Cricetulus griseus: one gene and its partners. The protein of the gene in region 4 interacts with the protein of the main gene of each other region in a pairwise test. Links are inferred from orthologs where the notes say so. Each region holds a gene or a part of one and is shown on either strand. Other genes may lie near its edges.

What was found. The genes of interacting proteins can lie anywhere in the genome.
Region 1: the proteins of Fam161a (region 4) and Ccdc57 interact in binary tests that used the Homo sapiens proteins (3 or more experiments, as listed by UniProt). The two-hybrid records come from large-scale screens. The link is inferred for Cricetulus griseus from reciprocal best matches to the Homo sapiens genes FAM161A and CCDC57.
Region 2: the proteins of Fam161a (region 4) and Ppfia1 interact in binary tests that used the Homo sapiens proteins (3 or more experiments, as listed by UniProt). The link is inferred for Cricetulus griseus from reciprocal best matches to the Homo sapiens genes FAM161A and PPFIA1.
Region 3: the proteins of Fam161a (region 4) and Hmbox1 interact in binary tests that used the Homo sapiens proteins (3 or more experiments, as listed by UniProt). The two-hybrid records come from large-scale screens. The link is inferred for Cricetulus griseus from reciprocal best matches to the Homo sapiens genes FAM161A and HMBOX1.

What each region holds. Positions count from the first base shown.
Region 1 is NC_048600.1:133,406,046-133,410,597, reverse strand, and holds the start of Ccdc57 (coiled-coil domain-containing protein 57), read left to right. Parts: upstream 1-1,630; 5' UTR 1,631-1,805; intron 1,806-4,552. UniProt on the Homo sapiens protein: Pleiotropic regulator of centriole duplication, mitosis, and ciliogenesis. Critical interface between centrosome and microtubule-mediated cellular processes. Centriole duplication protein required for recruitment of CEP63, CEP152, and PLK4 to the centrosome.
Region 2 is NC_048596.1:56,801,426-56,806,021, reverse strand, and holds the start of Ppfia1 (liprin-alpha-1), read right to left. Parts: upstream 2,923-4,596; 5' UTR 2,721-2,922; intron 1,833-2,720; exon of another isoform or gene 1,810-1,832; intron 1,689-1,809; coding exon 1,425-1,688; intron 1-1,424. UniProt on the Homo sapiens protein: May regulate the disassembly of focal adhesions. May localize receptor-like tyrosine phosphatases type 2A at specific sites on the plasma membrane, possibly regulating their interaction with the extracellular environment and their association with substrates.
Region 3 is NW_023276807.1:219,978,901-219,983,767, reverse strand, and holds the start of Hmbox1 (homeobox-containing protein 1), read left to right. Parts: upstream 1-1,945; 5' UTR 1,946-2,259; intron 2,260-4,867. Other genes in the region: Ints9 (integrator complex subunit 9), read right to left, coding at 1,461-1,469. UniProt on the Homo sapiens protein: Binds directly to 5'-TTAGGG-3' repeats in telomeric DNA. Associates with the telomerase complex at sites of active telomere processing and positively regulates telomere elongation.
Region 4 is NW_023276807.1:83,751,659-83,756,283, reverse strand, and holds the start of Fam161a (protein FAM161A), read left to right. Parts: upstream 1-1,610; 5' UTR 1,611-1,681; coding exon 1,682-1,867; intron 1,868-4,625. UniProt on the Homo sapiens protein: Involved in ciliogenesis.

The DNA.
Region 1 (4,552 bases), on a different chromosome or scaffold from region 4:
TTAACTTCCAAATGCAGCTGCTTTGGGGAATAGAATTTAAAATATGGATTCTGGGGAACCCACTTCCATTCATAACACAAGGCGTTTACAGACCCTCACTTTTCAGAAAAGGGAACCAAGGCTTGGGGGACTCAGAGGCCATGTGTTCTGGGTCCCTTGTGGGTAGTCTAGCCCTACTTTGAGAACTCAGCTTAGGCTGGGTCCTCTCAGCCTTCTCTGGCCATTTTCATATACACGGGGGCCCCAGTTCCCCCATCACCTTAGGAAACTCCCAGGAATATGACTGAGTAAGGCAGAAACAAGGGTGTGAGCATATTTCTGGCTTGGGTCTGCCTCTTGGACTCCACAGCTAAGGCAGGAGCTCTGAATTAGGTAGCAAAGAGTTGACAGCTGGTTCTTCCTCACATTCTAATAGAACGAAAGGCCCTTAGGGGTCCAAGAGATTCAGATATGGCTGAGGAGATAGCAGCGGAAGGACAAAGGCAAGCTGTCTGGGGGAGGGTTCAGATCAAGCACCAAGCATGCTATCAGGAAGTGGGAACAGCGAGTACAAGGGAAAGACTGATGGGGTTAGGAAGACTACAGAATGTAAGGCAGGAAAGTAGGAATGACGCTAGACCACTGGATGCTGCCCTCCTGGAGCACGGGATTCCCAGACACTCCCCATCCCTTGGGAACTGTGCTGGCTGAGGTGTGTGAGTCAGTGCTGGCTTCTGACCCAGGGCTGGGCCACACAGTTTACCTATTTATTTATTTATTTATTTATTTATTTTGTGTGATGGTGCGAATGCACACCACAACATATGGAAGTCAGAGAAAAACTCAAGGGAATTGGTTTTCTTCTTCCACTATGTAGGTCCCAGAGAGCAACTCTGGTCATCAGGCTCGCCCATCCACTGAGCCATCTCCTTGGCCCTCAGATAACCCGAGGATTTAAATGACTAGCTAAGACAGAAACAGAGGCACGCCTGCAACAGACGCAAGCCTGATGTTGGGCTCATGCAGGCCCTTCCCAGTAACCTGCTTCACTCCATTCAACTCTACTTAGTCCATGAAAGCCTGGGTCCTGCATAAACGCTCACCTTTTGATGCCTGAGGTATCAGGGCAAACCCTGGAGAGCACTCAATGTGGCCCCTCACCCAGAGCTCCGAAGTACGACCGATCCCTTCACTTAGCGCCCCCCCTCCCCGCCTGGTGATCGGCCCCCGGTGCAACCTCCCTCCAACCTTGCCATGTGCAGTCCACTGCACCCTTGCCATAGTCCCAAGTGCAGGCTACACTAACGCAATGCAGGAAAGATCTGCGTCCACGGAGCAACTCCCCACGCCCGACTCGCAGGCTCTCCACCTGAGCTCCCAGCCCGTCCGCCTGCCGGCGCCTCCTCGCAGATGAAATTAGCCCTTTGGGGCTACAAGATGGGCACCCTGGGGACCCTCAGGCCACCTGGGGGGAGGACACAGAGCGCCACAGGTGCGGGCTTTTGCACTACTCAGGGAGTCCCACAGGTCAGCAAACCCTATTCAATGCCAGTGTGGACCCCGCGGAGGTCGGAACTCTGTGTTGGGGTTCCTGTTTCTGCACGGAGGGATCGGAGCGATGCTCACAGTGCACCCGGACCCAGGCCGCGGACTCCAGTCGCTATGGTAACGTGGCCCGCGCTAGAGGTGCGACCGGAGGGCGGGCGAGCGGGCGAGCTAGTGCTGGCGCTCGGAATCCCGGCGGCCCCAGAGCGGGCTGGCGCGGTGCCTGGTCGCGCGCCGGGAGGCGACGAGGATTTCGCTGGGCCCTGCCGATGGAGCACGGGGTGAGTGGCATGGCCATCGCTTCAGGTTCCGGCTCCCGTGGGGCTTTGACCCAGGCTCCCCAGACGCCTCCCTCAGGAAGTAGTAGCCTCGGGCGACCATCGCGAGGCCGGCAGCGGCACTGGGTGCAGGGTGCCCCGAATCAGCACGTTAGCCGCAGTGTTCCCCCTGCTCTGCAGCCTGGATCAGCGCCGCGCTGCCCCGCTGACTTCATAAGTCCGTTATTTTGTAGACTGCATCTCATCCTCGGCTGGCCCGATATTTAACATAAGATTGAGTTACTAACATTTAGCATTCTGCCCTCGTGCCTCCCAGGAGACAGTGGTGTCTATCAAATGGCTATCATAAAGTTACTGTTTTCTTCTGGGCACGCCTTTAATCCCAGCATTTGGGAGGCAGAGGCAGGCAGATCTCTGAGTTCGAGGCCAGTCTGGTCTGCATAGTTCCAGGACACCCATGGCTAAGTAGAGACCCTGTCTCAAAAAAAGTAACTAAATAAGCAAAGTTAGGTTACTATTTTCCCGTTATAAATAATAAATACCTTTCGGGGGAGGTGCTTGCTTGTGTAAAGTCCTGCTTCTAGCCGTGTTTTCAGTGACTAATTTTAGCATACATCAGTGAAAACTTCCTGATTTTTTTCATTTAATTTCACGTTTTATTCTTTCATTGCTTTGTTTGGTTTTGGTTTTTCGAGACATGGTTTCTCTATGTAGCCTTGGCTGTTATGAAAATCACTCTGTAGATCAGGCTGGCCTCTAACTCGAAGATCTGCTTGCTTCTGGTTTCTGGGTCCTGGGTTTAAAGGCATACACCACCACCACCCAGCCATGTTTTATTCTTGCTATGTTGGGTAGAGAAAAGGAATCACAAGTTAGCCGAATAAACCATTCAGACCTTTCAGGATAAACTGGGATCTAGTTTCCAAAGGTCTTTATTTAGAACCAGGATCAGAGTAGGTTTCAACCACTGCTCTGGCATCTGCGGCCCTGGGAGAGCCACAGAAAACAGGCACAGAATGTATTCTCCAGGGCTCCTGTCTGGGTACAGGGCCAGTCCTCCATGAAGATAGCAGGTGAAGGAGACTCAGCAGCTCCAAGGGATTCAGGATGACACAGGCCTGGGGCTTGTCATGAAGAATGAGATTATTGATGTCCCCACAGATCAGACCTCACAGGTCACTGTCCTTCCACCTATATCCTGGAATTATTTATGAAACTCTTCCATGAGCACCAGGCAGGAATTTACTCCTTAGCTTCAGAAATAGACCAATATAAGCCCATTGTCTTAGTCACTGTTTTATTGTTGTGAAGAGACACCTGACCAAGGCAAGTCTTATAAAGAAAACATATGAGGGAAAAGGGGCCAGCTGATGAAACACAGCCTGAGCAGAGCCAAAAAGAAACACACTTTGGCCTGGCAACTAGAACCAAAGAAACACACCCTGACCCTGAAACCAGTGCCAAAGAAACGTGCTTTGTCCCTATAATCAGAGCCAGTGAAAGAAATACATCCTGGCCCTAAAATTAGAGCCAAAAGGCTAAAAAGGACCAGTGAAAGAAACACACTTGGGCCCTGAAACCAAAACCAGATCTGTCCTGCCCCTGAGCAGAAAACCAACCAATCCCTGAGCACTTAGCATGACCCAAAGCCCCTGGCAGATACTAACTACCTGGTCCATTACAGAGCAGCTGTCAGGCCCTGTTCTAGGTGATTTAGAATTTACAGGAAGACCTGCCACAAAGCTGTGCCCACTGTCCAATGGAAAAATCCATTATTTCCTGTGAAATGCACTCTTGTTTCTTTAGTTCTGATGATTTGGACTGTAATTTAAATTTTCATTTATTTTATGTCTGTGTGTATGCTTGTGGAACCATATATACGAAGGAGCTTGTGGACTCTAGAGGAAGGCATCAGAGCCCCTGGAATTGGAGTTACAAATGCTTGTGAGTGGTCATGTGGGTTCTGGAAAAGGAACCAGGCCCTCTTCAAGAGCAGCCAGTGCCCTTAACCACTGAGCCATCTCTCCAGCCCGACTGTAACTAATTTTTGTTATCAGTAATTTCATGAATGAACTTTTCTCTAAGTAGTATCCTTGCTTATATAAAGAGCACCTAGGAGCTGGAGAGATGGCTCAGAGGTTAAGAGCACTGGCTGCTCTTCCAGTGGTCCTGAGTTCACAATTCCCAGCAACCACATGGTGGCTCACAACTATCTATAAGATCTGGTGCCCTCTAGAACACTGTATACATAATAAATAAATAAAATATTTAAAAAAGAGCAGCTACTGGCTTAGGAACTCTGAAGTTGGTGTAAACACATAACACAATATACCCTAACTCACCTGAACTCACTCACCTATATTACATCACACACAGCACACACACCTTGCTATAACATACTCACATACCTTCACAGCACCACACATGCATACACATAGCCTACAGACAACACGTATAATGCCACGTTCTTCACACACGCACCGTGCCCTCTCCTACATGCATACGTACATCACAACACAAAAGCAAACCCCTGTGGTCCCCCTGCCCCTATTATGAGTTTTATGTCTGTGGTTGGTTGATTATTGTTGATTTGAGTATAGGTGAGGCAACCCCCATCATCTTCACTTTGGCTCTCTTTCAATGTGTTTGCTGTCACTATTCATCTCTGTAAATATACTTCTAAAGAAGACCGACTCTCAGAGAGTCAGACTGCTACCTTCTTTGGGGTGACAGTGATACACAAACGTAAC
Region 2 (4,596 bases), on a different chromosome or scaffold from region 4:
ACAAACACAATTGCAAAGCAGAGCAATTGGAACTCACAGCATCTTAAAAACCTCTTCAACACGTGACAACAAAATCTGACCTAATTAACCTGCTAATTCCTAAGACTCCAGGAAGAAATGATTCTCTAGCCCCCAAACAAAAACTCCCAGCACACAACACTAATACCAAATTGTTTCTAAAAAGGACATTCAAACGTTTAGTCCAATCTTACAGAAATGACTACAGCCAAGAGATGCATCAAGGCAGTGATTATTCACTTGCGAACTGATCTCTGCAACCCCACCGTGAGAGCATAAGTGCAGCTTCCTTGAGCACCATGAAGATACCGATCACGAATGAACAAAGTGGGCTCGTCAGCACAAAGCTAAGCAACCCCTGTTCCATGTGCCTTTCACCTTGGGTTTTGCAGGCTATCCCACTTTCTCCTTCCCCTACCACTGACTCTGGAAGAGAAGGCTCTAGCACACCAATTCAGATGTAATACTAAAGATACACAAGGTGTTTCAAGCTCTGAAAGTCTCATCTACCCAGGAAGAGGAGGAGCCTTGGGATTCAATGTTCAATCATTTCTCCCCTGAAACAAAGTTTCATTACAGCTCTTGTAATGTTCAAGAAAGCCTCTGAAGACTTTACCAATGGAATCAGTCCTAGTTATCCACAAGATTTCCTCAGGAAATTGGAAATCCACAAGACACAAACCAGGATTAAGACATAAAATCCCAGAGATCCACTCCTCACAGGTCCACAGCAGGCATGGACAAGTCTAAGACACAGAATGGGAGACACTACATAGCTCATTGCTTCACAGCCCCAGTCAAAGCATAGCCAGGTACTCTGGTGGTGCATACCTTTAATCCCAGCACTGAGGAGGCAGAGACAGGCTGATCTCTGAGTTCAAGGCCATCCTGGTCTACAGTGTGAGTTCTAGGTAAGCCTAGGCTACACAGAGAAACCAAACCAAACAAAACAGCAACAACAAAAACCCAACTCTGAAACACATTCCCAAATCTAGGCAGTTACCCAAAAAGGCACAACAGTGCAGCAGTGTGGTCACATGGCTTTGGAGAATACCCATTTATTCCCAAACTGAATTCCATGGGAATTTTACCTGTGCTTAGAAAACACCAGAAACCGGGCGTTGGTGGCGCATGCCTTTAATTCCAGCACTTGGGAGCCAAAGGCAGGTGGATCTCTGTGAGTTCAAGGCCAGCCTGGTCTCCAGAGCGAGTGCCAGGATAGGCTCCAAAGCTACACAGAGAAACTCTGTCTCGAAAAACAAAAACAAAACAAAACAAAACAAAAACCCACCAGAAACATCACTTTCCTAGTGGTTACACAAAACAGTCAGCAAGCTAACACATTAACAAGATCATCCCACAGACATTTAGTGGCAGACACCTTGGTTTCAGTTTGGTTGGCATACCTGTGGAAGCGCAGTGTTGAGCTGCCTCTGCAAGGAATCTCTTTCATGACCAACCTCATGCAATTTCCCCTGGGTTAACGCCAGTGTTTCTTGTGTCTCTCTCAGAGTGTCCAGAAGGCGGTCTCGTTCTTCCAGCATGGAGACCATGAGCTGCTCAAAATGTGAATCAGCATCTGGCTGTGAAGGGGAGCCTGACCCACGGCTTCCACCTCCTCCTGGGGGGCCTTCCGCTTCACTAATGGTCGGCATCACCTCGCACATCATCTTGAAACAGGAAAGATGCAGACAATAGTCAGTAGGTGCAGAACAAGCCTGCAGCTTTCCGAGCACCACCTGTGGCTGATGAGCAAATGCTGACAAGTCCCACACTGTCAGAGCTGCTCACCTTGGATGCACACACTATGGCAAGTAGCATGCACGGACCAACAGGAAGAGCAGACTGGGAGATGGATGCCACAGTCCCAGGAGCAAGGGGAGCTGGAATGCTCACCTCTCCCACCCAGGGCAAATCAGCGGAGTCTGTTGAAAATCCGCACTCTCAGCAGCTGAAGACAGTGGGCTTCTGTTAACTTATTTTGTTCTTCTCCAGGAAGAGACATTCAAAACATATTCCCTCAACACCAGAAGACGGCTGAGAACTGACAAGCACCAGCGCTATGGACCAAGGCATCTTCCAGGAATGTGTGCAGTCAGCTCCTGGGAAGGACTGCCGGGCTCCCTGACTTGTGGGGCTGGATATTTGGTGAGCAGCGGAAAAAGCAACTGGATTGGCTCTTTAAGGCCTGGACAGAGGTGTTTTTGCAAAGGCCTGCTGCTGTGCAACGGTTGGTCAGCCAAGCTAACTTACATAAGTTTACAGTCAAAGAGGGGGCAAAAGAAAAGAGAGAGTTTCCACACTGAGAATCTAGGAAGTCGGGACAGCAAGACTAGATAATAAAGAAGGAGAAGAGAAAGGTGAGATGGCACTAGAGATTGCCAGGGCACAGGGCGGGGGATGAAGGGGATGTCCTGCAGGTGCACCTGATCATGCCGGGATGATCCTGCCATCGAGGACTCCGCTGGTCCTGCCTGGCTCAATTGACCCCAGTCTCACTGCCCCCAACCTCGCTGACCCTGGCCAATTTAAGCTGACTCAGACCTAACTGATATCAACCCGCCTTGGCTGACCCCGGCTCGGCCAGGCTAATCCCAATCTTGCTGACCCCCCTCCCGCTGACCACCTCCCGCTGACCCCGCCGACTCGGCCCCGCCGACCCCGGCCCGCCACCCTGCGCGGCCCGCTCCGCCCGCCCTTACCTTGGCCGGCGGGCGCGGCTCCGGGGCTACGCGGCAGCCTTCGGGCGGCGGCCGGCTGCGGGCCGACCCACGCAGCCCCGCAGCTGCGTCCTCGCCCGGCCCCCGGGTCCGCCGCCCCGCTCGTCACGAAGGCCGGCCCGCCGCCGCGGGACACTGGCGAGCGCAGAGGACCGGGCCCGGCGCGTCGCCGGCGTCAACGTGCCTGACGTCCGGCGCGTCGGCGCGAGCGTCAGCACCGCCCCCTGAGGGAGAGACGGCCACGGAGCTATGCGCATGCGCCAGCTCCGCGGTAGTGGGAGGGCGGCCTTTCCCGAACGTCAATTGGCTATTTCTCTCTTTAGCCGCACCCTCCACTCCGCCCCCGAGCCAGGCCAAGCCCCGCCCACCGGTGGATTCACAGGTAAAGAACTATGGCAAGTGCGCGCAGTTTTCAGTCCTGCTGTTTTCCGTGCTGTCACTCCAGCGCGTGCGCTGACGTCACCCGAACGCCCACTCTCAGACCCAAGAGTTCTGCTGAGTCTCCGAGTCGCGCCGGGCCATCTGCAGGACCGAAAAATGATGACAGAGACCGGGCAAGGTGCCTGCCTGGAGCTTATGGCCTAGCCTTCAGAAGTCTGAGGCAGGAGGATTGCTTCGAGTTGGAGTCCCTGTCTCTAAAAATACAAAGGCGACTGCCGTCAACCCTGACGACTGAGTTCGATCTCTGAGACCCAGAAGAACTGCATTAAATAGATGCAGTTCTAGGAACCCACGTGGTCCTGAATGTTATCCTCTGACCTGTACACGCCTTGTGACTCTCATGCATGCACACACATGCACACACACACACACACACACACACACACACACACACACACACACACACAAATGAGTAAGCAAATGTAAAAACAAAACACAAAATTTAAGGGCTCAGCCACCCTTGCAAGTATGAGAACCTCCATTCCACTGCCCGAACCCACATAAAATAAAAAGCCAGCCAGTCTTGATGCTGCAAGCCTTTATTCCCAGCATTCAGGAAGCAGAGGCAAGGTGATCTCTGTGAGTTCCAGGCCCACCTGGTCTACATACTGAGTTCCAAACCAGCCAGGCAGCCAGGGATAGTGAGATCGCTTGGAGAGAGAGGGGGGGGGGTCTTCATAGAGCTGCACGGAGAAGATCCCATCCCACTGCTTGCTAATGCTCAAGAGTTTTCCCAAGCTTTCTGGCTGTGGAAATCTCGGCTCCTGATGCTTTGCACCCATTCACTATAGACCATATATCTGCAGAGATGGCTGTGAGGAACAGAGACTACAGGACCATTGCCCCCTCTGAATCACAGAGACATGGCTGACATTCAAGGTGTTTTGTTTGTTTGTTTGGATTTTTATCCCATTTATTTGTTTATGTTGTGTGTATCTATGTGTCTAAGAGTACGTCTGCATAAGTACATGACTCAACTTGAATAGAGGCCAGAGGACAACATGCAGTAGCCATTTCCCTCTTTCAACCACGTGAGTCCCAAGGATCAAATTTAGGTCATAAGGCTTGGTAGCAAGTGCCCTTGCCTGCTGAACCATCTCACTGGCCTGCATTTTATTTTAGAGGCAAGGGCTCTCTGAGACAGGCTAGTGTACAGCTCTCCATGCTTCCGTCTCAGCCTCACAAGCGCTGGGATGACAGGTATATGCTATCACACATACCATCACCTCAGGTCCCTCTTTTTATTGATCTTTATGTCATGTGTTTGGGTGATGTTTGCCTGAATGCATATATGTGTACTGTGTGCATGTTTGATGCATGCAGAGACCATAAGTGTTTGTTGGAGCCCATGGAACTGGAGTTACATATAGTTGCAAGCTGCCATGCAGGCGCCAGTAATGCCCTTAACCACTGAACC
Region 3 (4,867 bases), about 140 Mb from region 4:
CGAGGCCAGCCTGGTCTCCAGAGCGAGTGCCAGGATAGGCTCCAAAGCTACACAGAGAAACCCTGTCTCGAAAAGCCAAAAAAAAAAAAAAAAAAAAAAAAACAAACAAAAAAAAAACAACCAACCAACCAACCAAAATGAATGTGTTGACTAAAGTGTGCATGTTTCATGACATAACTCATTATCTCCATGCTGAAGACCAAACCCAAAGAATGTATCGTGCAGTCTAGAGAAGCCTGCTGCCACTGACTTGCATCCTTAGCCCCTAAGATATCTAAAAAACAAAACAAAACAAAACACCACAGCTAACTCCACATTCCTAAAGCAGTGCACAGAGTTAAAACTTAAGGGCATGAGAAATTTATTAAAACCCGTTGGTAGCCACAGCACACAAATTTAACCTATTGAGAAACTATTTTTTGAAATCACTTTGGTGTATGTACAGTAATTCTGCATTAAAGGTCACTTGGATTAATTATGGAAATCTACACTTGGTTTGAAATCGAAGAGAGAGGGAGTGTTAATTAGAACTCTTCCTTTCCTTGGTGTCAGCTTTTGATTCTGAAAGCAAAAGGCTAATTTTTCATTTGTTCCTTTCCCATTTTAACCTTACATATAAATCAAGCAATAGGATTTTATGAGTGAAGCAAAAAAAAAAAAAAACATAAACTCTGATACCCTCATAAAAATTGTTCTGGGATAAACATTTGCACACCACTTCCTTCTCAAACCGAACCAACCAAATATGCCTTACATTGAGGACATTTATCTCCCTGTAGATAATGTCCAACTCTATCAATTATCCCATTACACTTGAATAAAACAACCTGTTAGAATGGTGTGCTCAATAAAATGGCTCAAAGCAAAGATCTGAGAAGTCTGCCTAACTCTTGCCACACAGTGACTTCTCCAGAAAGCGTGTTCCATCCACCTAGAGCTGTTTATTTCGCGCAGGCCCTAAACTGGAATGCTTCAACACTGCTCTGGCTAAATCCTTCACGAGCACCCTCTAGCACCGCTTTCTCTTAATTCGAAAGGCAGTTAGGATGTAGCAGGACATTTAATGAGCAATGCCTAAGTCCGGCTTTGCAACATCAGTAGGGAATCCACTGAAGAGCTTATCAAGTGGAAAGAGGGGATGACCCATTATAACTCTCAGGTGGGAGCCGAGAAACACGACCAAACAAAAGTTTTAGAGTTTCCTCGAGGATGAAGAAATGTAATATTCAGCTTCATGTTTGGCCAAAGGGGCCTACCAAACAGTAATGAATGACATCCTGACAGGGAGTGTGGTGTGTATGCAAGAGGGAATTCAAATCTCAACTGCAAAACCCAGCTCGCCACAGTTCACCTCACTTTAGTTTTCTAACTGCTGACCTACCTCCGCGACAAGTCATGGTGGAGGCCACAGAATCCAGAGGGCATTATCTTTGCCCTCTGACTTAGGAGAGGAAACTCACCAGTTTCATATTGGAGTTTTGGTTGTTAAGCACCACTCTCTTCACTTCTCAAAGCAGGGAAGCGTTTTCCGGTTCAATCTCCGCCACAGAGAGCATCGCGGGAGTTGAAGTTTTCCTTTCTCACGCACTTTCCGGAGCATCACGGGAAATGTAGTTTTACTGAAGGAATTATGGGAGCTGTGACCGTCTTTCCTTTTCCTCCCTGTTCTCTTTAAACGCCTCCTTCTGCCCCCTTAAATTCGTCGCCGCCGCCAATTCATCCTTCCTTTCCATCCCTGAATGATATCATGACCCCCACCCCCTTCCCGATCTGAAATCCTTGTTATTCTGGGATATGTAGTCCACACTGCTCCAGTTCCCGGCTCCCCCTTCCCTGTGGGAAGGCGTATGGGCGCAGTGCCTTCTGGAAGCTGTAGTTCCCTGGGGCCTCGGACCCCTAGCTCTGCACTTTTCCTCTAGGGAAACGGAAACTACAACTCCCAGGGATGCCCGGCGGCAGCAGGTGGGAGCGGGGCTGTTGCTATCAATATGGCGGTTGTCAGCCAGACAAAGACAGTCAGTCTGATGTGATTGAGACAAGCGAGGTTTTCAGGGGGAGACTGAGAGACAGAGGGCTACCCTCCCCCCTCTGCTCTTCCTGCGCGGGCCTGGAGCCCTCCTCAGCCCCTCCCGCAGGGCGCCCCGCGGTGCAGATCCCCTCCCCCTCCCGTTTTCCTCCTCCCTCCCTCCCTCAGCCTTGCTCTGGGACGCTGGGGAGGGGGCTGAGCCCGGGTGCAGAGAACTCATCTGGGTTTCCGAGGTGAGTGGGGTCGTTTGCGACCCGGACTGCCTTAAGTTCTTTCCTCACTTCTTTCATTACTTTAAGGGGAAAAAATGTTTTGGAGGGGTTTGGGGGGAGAGAAAGTGAGTAGGCGCCACAGATGGGTCTCTGGAGTGGCTGCGTTGGGGAGGGAGCAAGTGAGGGAGAAGGGGGCTCCCGAGGGGGCGGCGGTGCGCGGGCTGTGGGGTGGGGCAGTTTGTGAGGGGCTGGCGCAGAGAGGCGACGGCGGCTCCCTAACTTCTCCCTGGTCTCCAGGACCGGCGGAAGGTTTGAATTCTGGAGGTGGGGTCTTCCTGCTTGCGAGTTTGAGCAACTGTGAGGTGGTTTCGAGGTGTGCTGGTTTGTTTGGGGAGTGTCTCGCTGTTTTAAACTGTGACGTGTACTCGGGTGCTGGGCTCGTCTTGAAGGAATGTCTGTAGATGGTAAGTTAGATAGTCGAAGATAAGCGGCCTGGGCTTGGGAAGCATGCGTGAGTCCCGGGCTGGACTTTTGCTCTGTGGACCTTGTGCAGGCTTTTGGGGGTTCGGCAACTCATTCGTGTCTGGTGGCTAGCTCACACTCCGTGCCCTCTTCTGGGCCAATCTCCACCCCAAACTCCCGACGGCAGGACTGTACAAATGATGTGATGTGGAGATGCATTTTGCCTCCTCAAGTCCGCAGCTAAAGGTGGGAAAGGAAAAGTGTCTCTTAATATTTTATTCCGGAACCGTGTTTTGGTTACACTATTGGGGCTACTTTGAAAGGAGTCCTCTGCCCACCTTTACCCCGAAACAGTAAGTAAAGGTATCTTGTCATCTTCATGCTCAGTGGCTTGCTTGCCAATTATTTAAAATTCGGGGACGTGGGGTTGGGAGTCTGGAGTGCTAAATGGCATATGCATCTGTGTCTACTAATGAGACAGAATGTCTGCTGTGTGCCCTAAGGTAGATAGGGCGACTTATTTTCGTAGTTGAAAAAACTGTTGGAAATTATTTTCGGGGAAGAGGGTTGGTGGTGCGCTGGAAGGCGCTGCATCTATTTTTCTTCTACCCCACCCTGTTCTGTCTCACATTTGCTTGAAAACTGGTATGGAAGAGTGAGGAAGCATGGGTAAGTGAAGCAAAGAATTCACTTAGCAGTAAAGATACATGCCATGTAAAGTTGAAGGATAAAAGTGATTGCTATGTTGTCGGATGCTTAAAAAAAAAGACCTTGTGTGTTGTGTAGGGTACAGTCACGTGCTGCTTTTTCTGGGGACCTACAGATAATGGAAACCTTCGCCTACTCCTTTCCTATCTTCTCTTCCCTTTCTTCCTCCTCCCCCTCCTTCCTTCCTTCCTTGGCACAGAACATTTCTCTTCCTGATGGACATAATAATACCTCCTGTGCTTTTTTTAAAATTTTGCTTACTTTGTGCTAATATGGGTTGTGCTTTTTGTGGTTTCACTATAAAATGCATCATTAAGTGAAAAGAACCCGAATTTGTTGTTATTTCGCATTTATGCCACAAGTAATTATCACATCAGGTTTCTAGTGCTTTGCATTAGACTTATTAAAATTGCACAACTAAGTTGCTAGATCTGGTTGAATTATGCTTATAAGTCAAGTTTAGAAAATCTGATTTTATTTTTCAATTTTCAAATTAGAGTTGGAATGAAACATCTCTTGTTTCTCACAGTCTTGAATATTTAATGACCTTACACCAGGAGAATTTAAGATCATACATTTTGTACTCCCTCAGTCCAAAATACAACTTCTTCAGTGACTGTGTTAATTTTGTTGTATTACAGACTTTTAAATAACCAAAAGAATAATTGGTATCATTTCTATTTGACTTGAGAATTTAACGTATTTGTATATTTGGTCAAAATGTATCAGTTCTTAAATGTTTCATCTATCAGGAAGGGGCTTTTAGATTCCATAGCATCTGAAAGCAACATAGATGCACTGGGATTTTGTGGTAGGTTTAGCCTTTGTTTTGAAATTTTTGCTGTTGATTATTCACACAGATAAGGGGACTGTTAGCATGAAGTTGAGCATTTTCTATTTAAATTGACCTGAATAGAATTTCGTATACTGAATGTGCTATGCCAAGCTCTGCCTTTGGTTTGTTGAAGACAGGGATTTTCAGAATTGCTTGTTTTAAGCCTTACCTTAACCTGAAACATTAATTTTCAAAAACTGGGAGAAAATTCCATGGAACAGTATAATAGCTGCTTACTTGTGTTTTTATGAAATGTGTTCTGATAGTCATGGAATTTTTAAGTGTTTAATAGTCATTTTAGACATGTCAAACTGGAACGCTCCAATCTAGAAAAATGAGTGTTTTTCATCTACCCTTTCCTCATATCTTCTTTTTGTTTATTTTCATCAATGGATATGTGAAGTTATTTATGGGAAAAGCATTTGTTAAACTTTTTCTGACGAGTAGTCTGGTAAAAAAAAAAAAAAAATGACTCCATGTACACCAAGTATTTCTTGCATTCACCAGGCTGATTCTGTTGCTTTTTGAGCACAGGGGCATTAAAATGATGTAAAGCCTTTACTGCAGGCTAAAGCATAAAACATTCTCAGCATGTGAAAGTCATATGGTTTATGAAAAAGAGTG
Region 4 (4,625 bases):
TGTTGTTGTTGTTTGAGACAAGGTCTCACTATGAAGCCATGGCTAACCTGAAATACACTATGTAGATCAGGGTGCCCTGAAACCCACAGAGATCTGCCTGCCTCCCAAGTGCTGGGATTAAAGACTTGTACCACCATGCCTGGCCAAAGTTGTGTCTTAATAAGGTGGTGAAATCATGGTTATTCACTTGTCAGAATTCATGTAGCTATACATTCACAACTATTCATTTCACTGTTCTGTATAGTTACATTTTAATACAAAAGTGTAAAAGCAGTTCTACGATGATGCTATTTTCTTGCAGATCTGCCCATTTCTGCTCCATATTCTTGTGTTACTGATGACTGCAAATTAAGAATGCTGTCAGTGAACTGAACCTTTCTGTTCTGTGTACACACTAATGTCCTGCCTACCCATTACTCACTAGTTTATTTTCCTCAAGCCAACCACTTACAGTCTGTAGATCTGTCTTGGTCTAGAATTGATTTACACCAAATCCCATCACAGAACAACTTGCATGTGACTGACAGGAGGTCACTGTCCTGTCAGTTGGACGACTATGGATCCCACCCCACCCCCTGGCTTTTCAGAACCAACTGGCTTATCAGTTCCGTTTGGAGAAGCATGATCAACCAAAACAGGTGGAGTATGGTGACAGAGACTTCACAGGTGCTCATGCATAAAAGGGCGAACAAGAAAGGCCTGGTAGCAGGTGCGTCAGGGACAGGTTCCGTAGAAGGTGTGCCGCCTAATACGGAAACTACTGGAACCTTATGTCTGTACAGTCACGTTAGCTGGGCTGAGACTTCACCGTACCCACTGAGAGACCACCCGAAGGGGCCTAAAGGTGATCGGAAGGTTGGCGGGGGTGAATTGGGAGGGTGTGGTCCCTGTGCCCCCCCTTCACACCCCCCACCCCCACCCCCGCTTCCAGTCCTGCAACTAGCTAGCTGCAGAACCCAAGGCAAACTACCTACGTCACTCACTGGTTGTAGCTACTGGCGCTTTCCATGTCTGGCCTCTTACTGGTCAGCCGATGCAAAAGAGGGAGGGATAACTAAGTATTCTCCTTCTGATTGGTCAACTCGTGCTGGTTCTTGTCAATTAGAGATAAACCTCGTTCTCTGCCATGTTGGATGGCGTGCTGCAAAGCCTGTCCTTTTCTAGGGCGGTCACACAACAGCCGGTGCTTTCCTCTTCCGTTGTGCCCCAATATGTTGATCCAGTTAGTAAAAATGCGCTCTTTCTGTTTAAAGTTTAGGTGATTAGACCGAAATAAAGCAAGGCTCAGTCCCTAGCCGGAGAGCTGGGTCTCATTCTCGTGAATCTGTTATTATCTCGGCGCCGATGAGACGATCACTGAGCAACTCTCTTGGAAATTACGTTTTATTTTGGCTTGCTGTGGTGGTCATTTGTGTAGCTTCAGATAGTTATGCTTCTAGAATGCCCCGTTCACCGCAGGCTTCTATCAGAAACCATCATTAGACTTTAGGTGGATGGAGGGCTCGGGTTTGTGACAATGAGAAAGGACATTGCGTGTCTTTTGGACCCTCGCACCTCCTGTAGCGTACCTAGTAACCGAGCCCCTAGTAACCGCCCGCCCCAAACCAGGATCTGCGAAGTCGAGGGCGGCGCCAGCTCACCCGCCCCGGGCCGGCGCGGGCGCTCGGGCTCGAGGCGGGAGATGGCTTCGCTGCACCGGGCGGCCAGGCTGGTGTCCGGCAGTCTCCACCTGCCGGTGAATCCCACCACCGAACCAAGGGTCGCCCAGAACGAACGCGAAGACGTCTTGGAGACCTTGGTGTCGTCGGCGTTGGCGGTGGCCTTGGAGGAGGAACAGAAGACAGAGACACGGCCGGCGCGGGCGTTGGTAATGTGGGAGTCGGGCTGGGGCTACGGCTAGTCCTGGTCCTCACCGGCGGCGGGGACCGGTGGAAACGAGGTGCCCTGCTCTCTGCCCCGACTAAAAATTGCTGCAGAACTTTTTTGGAGAGCGTTTTTATAGCTGTTTCTAGAGTGTGCAAAGAACAGAACTTTACTTCCTATTCTCTAGCATATTTTGGGAATAATTGTTTGTTTTTTTGAGACAGGGTCTTTCTATGCAGCCCTGACTGTCCTGGAATTCACCAGGCTGGTCTCAAACTCGCAGAGCTCTGCCTCTGGAGTGCTAGGTTTAAAGGTGTGTGCCATGCCCAGCTTCTATTCACTTTAAAAGTCCAGAACTTTGAGTTTCAGCTAGCACTATGCTGATACAAAGACCCAGACACACAGGCATGTGCCTGCCACACTTGGTTTCCTAGCAGTGCTAGGACTGGATGGAGACTTTTGTTTTGTGCTTGCTAGGCCAGTGTTTGTACTAACCGACCCATGACCTTGGCTTTTTTTGTTTTATTTTAGACAGGGTCTCTTTTGGTCTAGGATGGCCTCAAACTCCTGATCCTCCATCTTCCAAATACTGGGATTAAATGTAATGAGACACCAAGCCTAGCCTGTAGCAAACTTTGAAAAGCAACCAACTTGAAGTTGTTTAGATTAAAGCAGATGGAGAAGCTGAACATGAGTGAGGCTCAGAATCCTAGCACGGGTTTTATACTTGATAAAGCTACCATTCAGTATAAGTTGTAATAGATTACAGAAGACAGAATATTTGATGGAGAGAAGTATTTGGATCCTGGGTGACTTTAGGACATGACTTCCTTTTCCTTATCTATAAAGGACTATAGTTGTCTCCGTTTTTTTTACCTTGTTCAGTTGTTAATAAGAACCAAAGGAAAGCATGAGTGTCATTTCTACGAAGTAATTTACATAAATTAGTAGTAATTATAACAACTGCCAGTTTGAATAATTTACTTGGAAATTAATTTATACTTTGGCTTGTTGTGGCATAAAGATCCATTCTTTGTATAGTTGTAGTTATATTTCAGAGTGCCTGTTAACTAAAGATTTACATTATAAACTTAGTTTGGGTTTCCAGGACCCAAGTAAAAACCTGGTATGTTGGCATTTGTCTGTAATCCCAGTGTTGGAAAGGAAAGAGACAGGCACATCCCTGAAACTTACTGAGAGCCCCCACTCAAAAAGTGAGGTCACACACACACACACACAGAGAGAGAGAGAGAGAGAGAGAGAGAGAGAGAGAGAGAGAGAGAGATTAAGGATTAGCCACCATGGGAGGAGGACTACGATAAGGGTCAGGAGGATCCCATATTCACTGAGAAACAGTGGGTGGCATGTTAGTTGCTGTGATTTCAGATCCTTAAATGTGAAGAATAGAGAACAGTGTATTCCAGAGGGGAGTAGGTGGGAAGATGAGTGACTGTTCCTCTGGTGGTTTCTGTTTTCCTAAAGAAAGGGTTATAAGAGCAATTTGTGGGTACGCCTGGGAGCAGCCAGAGGAGCAAGGGAAATGCAAGCATAGTTGCTGGGGTAATGGGAGCCATTTTCCAAAGGAACACAAGGTGTCGAGCAGGCCAGGTATCACTAGACATTGCTTGGTGTCTATAATTTGGTATTAGCATTCATAAAATGTTGTCTATTGTTTGGAAAGCTACATGTCAGTTATGGTGATAACCACTGAATATAGTCTCCTTTCCAAATATATAATGTTAGCGCATTTAGAAAACTGGGTCAGAAGAACTGTGAGTTTGAGACCAGCCCAGACTACATGGAAAGTTCCAGCCCAGCCCAGGCAACATTGCAAGACCTTGTCCCAAACTATAAACAAACAAACAAATAAATCTCAAACATTAGCTGGCTGCAATGGCTCACAGCTATAATCTCAGTACTTCTGGAGGCTGAGGTATGCATATCTCACTCAACATTGTTGTAAAACTCCTTCCTCCTCCTTTCTTCCTCCTTCTCTCCCCTCTTTTCTTCTCTTTTGGAGTCAGTCTCTCACTGTGTAGCCCTGGCTGGCCTAGAACTCATGGAGACAGGCTGGGCTTCAAAGAGACTTACCGCCCAGATTAAAGTCATGTGCCTCCGTGCCTGGGTCCAAAGGACCTCATGTAGAACAGGCCAGTCTCGAGTCACTATGTAGCTCAAACTGACCTTGAACTCAGGGTCCTTCTGCCTTCTGAGTGCTACCAGGCTCAGCACTGAAAAGAAGAAAAGTTTAGGAAGAATTCCAGAACTTCAGATAAACTCTGTAGACCACAACACAAATAATTCCTCATGGTGCTGACACTAGTACCACCTCAGAGAGGGTTGGTTCATCCGTAAGTGGGTCAAGCCAATCTCAGGATTAGTGCCTTACCTAGTGGTGCTTACAACATGAAAAGCTTAACTATCAAGAGGGGAGAAGATAACCGAGTGTTGCATGTGGTGTCCGGCACACTACATGATCCTGGGGCAAAGGGCGAAGGTAAAACTAGAATCAGGAGTTATTTCGCAGCCATTCATCTGTTCTAGGTTAAAAGTGAAACAACCAGCCGGGCGTTGGTGGCGCCTGCCTTTAATCCCAGCATTTGGGAGGCAGAGGCAGGCGGATCTCTGTGAGTTTGAGGCCAGCCTGGTCTCCAGAGCGAGCGCCAGGATAGGCTCCAAAGCTACACAGAGAAACCCTGTCTCGAAAAACCAAAAAAAAAAAAAAAAAAAAAAAAAGTGAAACAACCAGGAGAGTTTATTTG